Linked DNA regions of Arabidopsis thaliana. The protein of the gene in region 1 interacts with the protein of each later gene in a biochemical or structural test. Each region holds a gene or a part of one and is shown in the gene's direction. Other genes may lie near its edges.

Region 1 (3,600 bases):
TAAATTTAACACTTAAACTTAAAGAATAATAATTTAAAACCAATTTAAAACTTAAATTTTAAGAAAGTAATTAATAATTTTTAACTAAAATAATGTTAATTTCACTATTATCATTTAAAAATTAGTTTAAGTATTAAAATTTTAAAACGGCGAAAACTAAACGTGTGTAGGCATGCATCCCCGTCCTTAATTGGTCCGTAAACTTTGTGGTGTTCGAAGTTCGGTAAAGCTTTCACCCAATATAGATTTGACAGTTAAACTATGTTTTAGAGAATAATAATGATGATTGATACTTGCGTTGAGAACATCTACAGAATTTATTGATAATTACAGGAGGTGATATGGCTATGATTGTTTTCACTCTTCTACCGGCAGCTCATTCTCTGTCCAAGCGACGTATCCTCCAGCAATGTCTGTGATCGCCGTGAAGCCCTGTACATGTGGCGACATTAAACCCGCTTGTCCTAAACCGGATAACGGCTATATAAATTGAAGTGATATTACACACATACAGCAGTGAGAAGATCAGTTGAGGCCATAAATGACATTTGACCGCTCTCACAACCCTGCAGAAGTAGTTTATTACGTGCATCAGAGATTTTGTGAAACAAGGGATTGTCTTCATAGGGGTTTATTTAGTCTCTGAATGTCAAAACTGAAACTTACGATTATGATTTCATCGTGTTTCCTGAAGTGGGACGAGACCTGTCTTAGAAAACTCGGGTTCTTAACCATTCCTGCAACGGTTTTGGCTTGGTGTTAGTTTTAAGTTGTTTTTCATTTTCACTCTTTCTCATAAGAGGAACCTTAAGGTCGGTGATGAAAACCTGATCCGACTCTGTACATGTAAGGTACGTTGATGGCTCTAGTCGGATGTCCGATGCTGAATTCGTCTGGTGTCCTCACGTCGAGATAGCGGTATCCTGCTTGAGCTAGCTCACGCGCCACTCTTACTGGTACTGACGTAGGAATTTTAACTGCCTCTGCTGCAACATTTCCTCTGCTTGTTGTCGTTGCTTTCCTCCTTGAGCAAGAAGTTAATACTCAGATTTAATATTTATTCATAATCTAAAATCAGATAGAGAAGGCGATTCTCGTCGTTGATTGCTAGCTTACCATCGGAAGTTTGAGTTTCGAAGATCAGCTACAATAACACCTCTTCGTGTTGGTAATTGGCACTTGAAAGATCCACATGTTTGTAGAGGTGGAGAAATAGCCGATGACCAGTTTCCAATTCGTGATGTTGTGTTAAAAGCAGTGGTTTCCATTTTCACTTCTTCTTTGAAACTTCTTTTAGAATGCTTTGATGCTACTTAGATACTTCTTCTCTTAGTTCTATAGCGTTTATATAATACATACAGACACAAAGGTATGGGTGTCACGTCAGCAAGTTTTATGTCCGATCTTCGAGTCTCTATCATTTCTATGGATAAATTCAATTATGTACCAAAGTCGATTCCAAAATGTAAACAATGCGTAGATAATGAATCATGATAAGTCCAACTCGGTGCCTCGTGAGTCGTGTTGAAGAGGATAACTTGCTGACTCGGACGGATAAGAAGACCGTAAGGCCCAATTGTGATAAACTAATTATGGATCCAAATTATCGTATTTGGGCCTCGTTTAGGCCCAATATTGAAACAAGTGGCTGAGATAGTGGAGCGGAGGAGAGAAGATGATGAAGTTAACAATGGTGGAATAGCGATTCTTCGACGACGATGATGGCGAGGTTTGTTTCTGTGTCGTCTTGTCAGTTTCATTTCGGCTTCCGTGAGGTTTCTCCTCCGTCGGTAACTTCTTATCCTAGACGATTCGAGGTAAATTCTTGTCATGTGTTTTCTTCAGTGACAGTAGTGTGTGATCGGTCATTTGAAGTCAGATGTTCTGAATTAGGTCTCTGATCGGAGATTTCCTGCGATTCCGATTAAATGTTCTTCATCTGAGCCGGAAAACGGTGAGGATTCGGCACCGTCGCTGTCTTCCTCCTCCTCATCGTCTACAAGTGAAGTATCTACTAGTAACAGTTCGACATACAACTGGTACACCGGAATCGGCGGTATTGGGATGTTAGACACTGCGTATTTGACTTACCTCAAGGTCACTGGCTCCGATGCGTTTTGCCCTATTGGTGGTGGCACTTGCGGTGATGTCCTCAACAGCGATTATGCCGTCGTTTTCGGTATTATCCATCGCTTTATTGATTATAGCGTTTGATTTATGTAGCTAATTGTCCTCTCTTTTATAGTAGGCATGATTAAATACTCGCATGTGATAGTCTCTGTGAATCTTTGCTTGAAGCTATATCATTTAGGAGCTTTGGTACTTAGTATGCATAGAATTGTTAGAGTTAAATAGCATGCTTCACTCCACTCTATGTAGTGCTTTGTCTTCGTTGTTTGTCCAACATTGCATTGCAGGTAAGTTGAACTCAATGAAAATCCTTTTTTACATTTTGCCAGGTGTTCCTCTTCCAGTGATTGGATTTGTTATGTATGGCGTAGTAACCGCTCTAAGTGCAGAGCTTGGGGAAGGGAATCTACCTTTTGGAATCAGTAAGAGCAATGGGCGTTTCGCGTTATTTGGGATCACGACTGCAATGGCATCTGCTAGTGCATATTTCCTGTATATCCTTAGCACAAAACTCTCAGGATCATCATGCCTGTATTGTCTGGTGTCTGCTTTCTTATCATTTAGTCTATTTTTCCTCTCTGTAAAGGTATCCCTTTATTTCCATTTCTTTTTTTTTCCTGATGTTGACTCAAGATAACTTCTAAACTTCGGATTATGATAATGTGCTCCATGCATGTGGTAGGATGTGAAGTTGCAAGAAATACAGCAAGTTGTAGGATTGCAGATATGCTTAGCAATCATAGTAGTTGCCTCCTTGACTGCTTCTTACAGTACTGCTCAACCAATCCCTTCACGGTAATCAAAGTTCATAGTTTTCTTTGGGGAGTCCCGATAGAAATTTTAGTCATTTGTAACGAGTAGTGAACAAATAGCTTCCGAAAGATGTATGAGTCTTATCAGGTGGTCTCTTTTAATCCCGATCGTTTTTTGTTTCACTCCTTCCAGCTCTGGTGACATTGAACTGCCATATTTTAGAACAGAGATCAGTTCATCATCGAGCCCTTATGCTATTGCTTTAGCAAAACATCTAAACTCCATTGGAGCTAAAATGTATGGGGCATTCTGGTGTTCTCACTGCTTAGAGCAAAAAGAGGTAGTTAGTTCATTCATCACCTGTTTGCCAAGAATCAGTTTTATGCTTTTATTATATGTTCATTATAGTTCCATCCATCTACAGATGTTTGGAAGAGAAGCGGCAAAAGAACTGAACTACGTGGAATGTTTTCCGGATGGATATAAGAAAGGAACTAAGATACTCAAGGCATGTGCAGATGCTGCGATCGAAGGATTCCCAACATGGATAATAAATGATAAGGTGAGTAAATCCTCTGAACCCCTTGTACATTTCATCACATGTCAGTACCTATTTCACCTCTTTTATAAATTAGGTCTTAAGCGGAGAAATAGAACTCGCTGAACTAGCGGAGATGACTGGATTCAGCCTTGATCAGGCAAATGAGACCAATCAAC
Region 2 (3,780 bases), 570 kb from region 1:
TTCTTTCTTAGGCATGTTCCCAAGTGGATCAGCTTCAGCTTGAGCCTTTGCCAGGAGAGCTAATCCATATCGATAGTATGCGTTTATACACTCAGCATCAAGTTCACCATAATGTGCAACCCTAACCATACCATTAAAACAAGCAATGTTTTCATTAGATCCTTTGATAAAAGGACCAGATACTAAAGAATTCAGTCGAGAGAACACACAATTGAAACTCAACTAAAAATTCAGAACCATGATTAGATCATTCGAGCATAAACTAGATTCAGAAACATCTGAAACCCTAAACCCTTGATTGAGAGGTTCTCGACTACAAATTCTCAAATGAATCTCCCAAAAAGATACCTGATTTCGAGAGCACGGCTGAAGCAATCGACGGCTTCAGCGAAATCGTTCTCTTTCAAAAACACAGAGCCTTTCTCCGTCAATTCCTCAGCGAACTCAAGCGTCTTCTCACGCTCCTCATCACAAACCTCAGTAGCAGCACTGTCAGCGGCGTTGTTGTTATTAGCGTCGTTGTTACAAGTCGATTCAGTGCCTCCCTGAACAACCGATTCGACGGTGGCTTCGATTGAGGCTAGGTTAGGTTCTAGGGTTTGCGCAATCTCCGTCGCCGGCTCGGTTAGGGTTTGTATCACCGAAGCTTCCGACGCAGAAGCTGATTCTTCAACCATCGCGGATTGAGATTTTTTCTGGGTGAATTTGAATTTCGAAGAACAAAAACGTCAAATTTGTTGAGAAGAGTGGAATCGTATTAAAACCCTCTCTTCGCTTTTTTTGGCGGACTTGAAAATGAAAACCAAAATTAAAGAATTAGGGGAAAAAATATTTTTATGTTTTAATTAAAATATTCACGGTAAACACTAAAATATACGAATAAAAAATGCGTATGTTATCCCACTAACGGTTAGTCTAGCTAAACTGCTCCGCTTTTGTTCAAGCTATTTGACTCATGACGCACATAGGCCATAGGAAAATTGTTACGCTGTAAAAAAATATATGACCGTTGTAACGGAAAAGGGTAATTTTGTCTTACCGAAGTTGTCTTACCGAAAAGGGAAAATTGTTAGCTAAAAGTTTTTCTATTATATAAAATATTTTTATTACAAAAATGTTTTTAAACTTAAATGTTAAATTTAAATACTGGAACGGTTAGATTTAACATCCCGTCTTTTAGGTATGTAACTCGTGCGTTATCATAAGTTCAACATGTTTTCTCATATTTAAATTTAATTTTAAGATTTTTTCAAAAATAATCTGTTTTGATATTTTAAAGCTAAAAGTTTATTAACAAAATGTTTTCAAACTTAAATGTTGAAATTTAAATACTTGAAAGCGTTTAGCATCCTGTTCTTTTAGTCTGTAACTCCTGCGTATTATAAGTTCAACATATTTTCACATATTTAAATTTAGTTTTAAGGCTTTTTTAAGAATAATATTGTAAGTAATCCGTTGATTTTTTTTTTTCGTCAAGTAATCCGTTGATTAAACGCAAATTTTAATTATATATATTCTTTTTATTCAAAACTTAAATGTTAAATTTCAAAGATGTACAAACTAAACTTGATATTCTGTCCTTAGAAAAAATTACCACTTAGCTTTATAAATATTAAAGTTTATCAAGGTAAAAAAAAACACTTTAAGTGTATGTGGAATATAAAGAGTGACTCATTTCATATTATTTTGTAACAAAGTTTAAATCTTTGTAACAAAAAGCGTGTGGCTCTAATAGCTTGGTTAGACGAAGAAGCTACTACTCCTTCGATAATAACGATCTGATGAGTAGCAGTTTTGTCATCTCTCTCACTCTCTCCCGACGATGGCTCGCTTAGTATTTTCTTTAAACCTTCCATCTAGTCATGGATTCAATCTCAGTCCTCGAAATCTTCAATCTTTCTTCGTTACCCAAACAGGAGCTCCACGATTTCGCGCTGTTCGTTGCAAACCAAACCCAGAATCTTCCGAAACCAAACAGGTGAAAATTTCGATTCTTTTTGAAATGGGTCGAAGGCAAATTAGCTAAAGTTTTAGCCTTTACCTGATTCAGGAGAAATTGGTAATAGATAATGGTGAAACTTCATCTGCATCGAAGGAAGTGGAATCATCATCATCTGTTGCTGACTCTTCTTCTTCTTCTTCTTCGGGATTCCCTGAATCTCCCAATAAGGATATCAATAGAAGAGTTGCGGCTGTTACTGTAATCGCGGCTTTGTCGTTATTTGTATCGACAAGGCTCGATTTTGGGATTTCTTTGAAGGATTTAACCGCTTCTGCGTTGCCTTACGAGGAGGTTTGTTTTTGGATTCTTCATCTGTGTTTCTATTCTCATAGAATGCTTAATGAGTTTTGTGAATGGATATTTAGGCGTTATCGAATGGGAAGCCGACTGTTGTTGAGTTCTATGCAGATTGGTGTGAAGTTTGTCGAGAACTAGCTCCTGATGTTTATAAAATCGAGCAGCAATACAAGTAATGAATCGTCTTTTATGTGATTTTTGATCAAAATCAATCTCCTTTCAAAATGAAGCCTTTATATATAGATGAAAGACAAGCTAGAGCTTTCTAGTTGCAGAACGGATTAGGGAACTTGTCTGGAGATTAAGATGAGCATTGCTAGAGCTTCGAAAAACATGGATTAAGGAATCTTGTCTTGGAATGGATTTAGCTAATGAACTAGCTAGAGCTTTAAAGATTCTAGTTGCAGAAGAGTTCTTATTTTGTGTTGGTTTAATGGATTAGGGAACTATCTTTAGGATTGGATTGTTGGCTATGTAGATAGACGCTAATGAAAAAGGTAGAGCTTTGAGATTTTAGTTGCAGAGGCAAACCATTAATCTCATGTTAGTTTAATGGAACATGGAGCTTTTTAGACACTAATTTGACGTTTTGTAGGCTAAAGTTGATGTTTACTTGTGGTGTTGTGATTTCGCAGGGACAAAGTTAACTTTGTGATGCTAAATGTGGACAACACGAAATGGGAGCAAGAGTTGGATGAGTTTGGTGTTGAGGGTATTCCTCATTTCGCCTTCCTCGATAGAGAAGGGAACGAAGAAGGTAATGTGGTCGGGAGGCTCCCAAGACAGTATTTAGTTGAAAATGTGAATGCGCTTGCAGCCGGGAAACAATCAATTCCTTATGCCCGAGCCGTGGGACAGTACTCAAGCTCAGAGTCTCGTAAGGTGCATCAGGTTACTGATCCCTTAAGCCATGGATAAAGAGAGTGGCATCACTATCATGCTTCTGGCAGATGATAGAAGTTGTTTCTAACTCTATAGTGCACAAAAAAAGTAGACAGGAAAGGAAAGTCGGAAAGTAGCAATGTTTCAAATTGATCAAAAGAATCCCATTGGAACTATAAATGTTGATATCGGTTTGTTCTTGTTTGACAATGCTTCTCTCCTATGCCTCCAATATCAACTCTCTCAAGCGACTTACACAAAGAAGATAAGTCAATCAACAACGGGTTTGACCATAAAGTTTCAAACCAAACCAGAAAAAATCTTTAAAGATGATACAACATATTCGTTTTAAGACATAACTAATCTGAATCCGAAGATTCGAAAAACTGAGGATTCAGCTCAGATACCATTTTTGACAGATTCTCCCTCATTTCCTGCAATTCTTCTCTCCCAAATCCCCAGGCCCTAACCACATCTGATCCCATGGCTCCCCACTGGATCCCAAGTTTCTCTAAATTCCCCATTCTAGTTTCCAAAAATGGCAAAATTGCGCTTGAAGATCTCCATCTTGTTGCTACTGGTATGGAGTGAACATCTAG

The links. Proteins that work in one complex are often made in the same cells at the same time.
Region 2: the proteins of LTO1 (region 1) and HCF164 form a complex in vitro, tested with the Arabidopsis thaliana proteins (one study listed by BioGRID).

The regions. Positions count from the first base shown.
Region 1 is NC_003075.7:16,942,741-16,946,340, reverse strand, and holds the start of LTO1 (NAD(P)H dehydrogenase (quinone)s), read left to right. Parts: upstream 1-1,663; 5' UTR 1,664-1,718; coding exon 1,719-1,817; intron 1,818-1,893; coding exon 1,894-2,179; intron 2,180-2,459; coding exon 2,460-2,716; intron 2,717-2,812; coding exon 2,813-2,925; intron 2,926-3,075; coding exon 3,076-3,223; intron 3,224-3,307; coding exon 3,308-3,547; coding exon of another isoform or gene 3,548-3,600. Other genes in the region: SEN1 (Rhodanese/Cell cycle control phosphatase superfamily protein), read right to left, coding at 358-432, 513-566, 667-737, 828-1,024, 1,117-1,268. UniProt on the Arabidopsis thaliana protein: Thiol-disulfide oxidoreductase catalyzing disulfide bond formation of chloroplast proteins and involved in redox regulation and photosynthetic electron transport.
Region 2 is NC_003075.7:17,509,273-17,513,052, reverse strand, and holds HCF164 (Thioredoxin superfamily protein), read left to right. Parts: upstream 1-1,688; 5' UTR 1,689-1,822; coding exon 1,823-1,978; intron 1,979-2,050; coding exon 2,051-2,293; intron 2,294-2,367; coding exon 2,368-2,471; intron 2,472-2,934; coding exon 2,935-3,217; 3' UTR 3,218-3,432; downstream 3,433-3,780. Other genes in the region: AT4G37210 (Tetratricopeptide repeat (TPR)-like superfamily protein), read right to left, coding at 1-121, 349-677; AT4G37190 (plasma membrane, autoregulation-binding site, misato segment II, myosin-like, tubulin/FtsZ protein), read right to left, coding at 3,541-3,780. UniProt on the Arabidopsis thaliana protein: Thiol-disulfide oxidoreductase that participates in various redox reactions in the chloroplast. Mediates the reduction of PSI-N in the thylakoid lumen.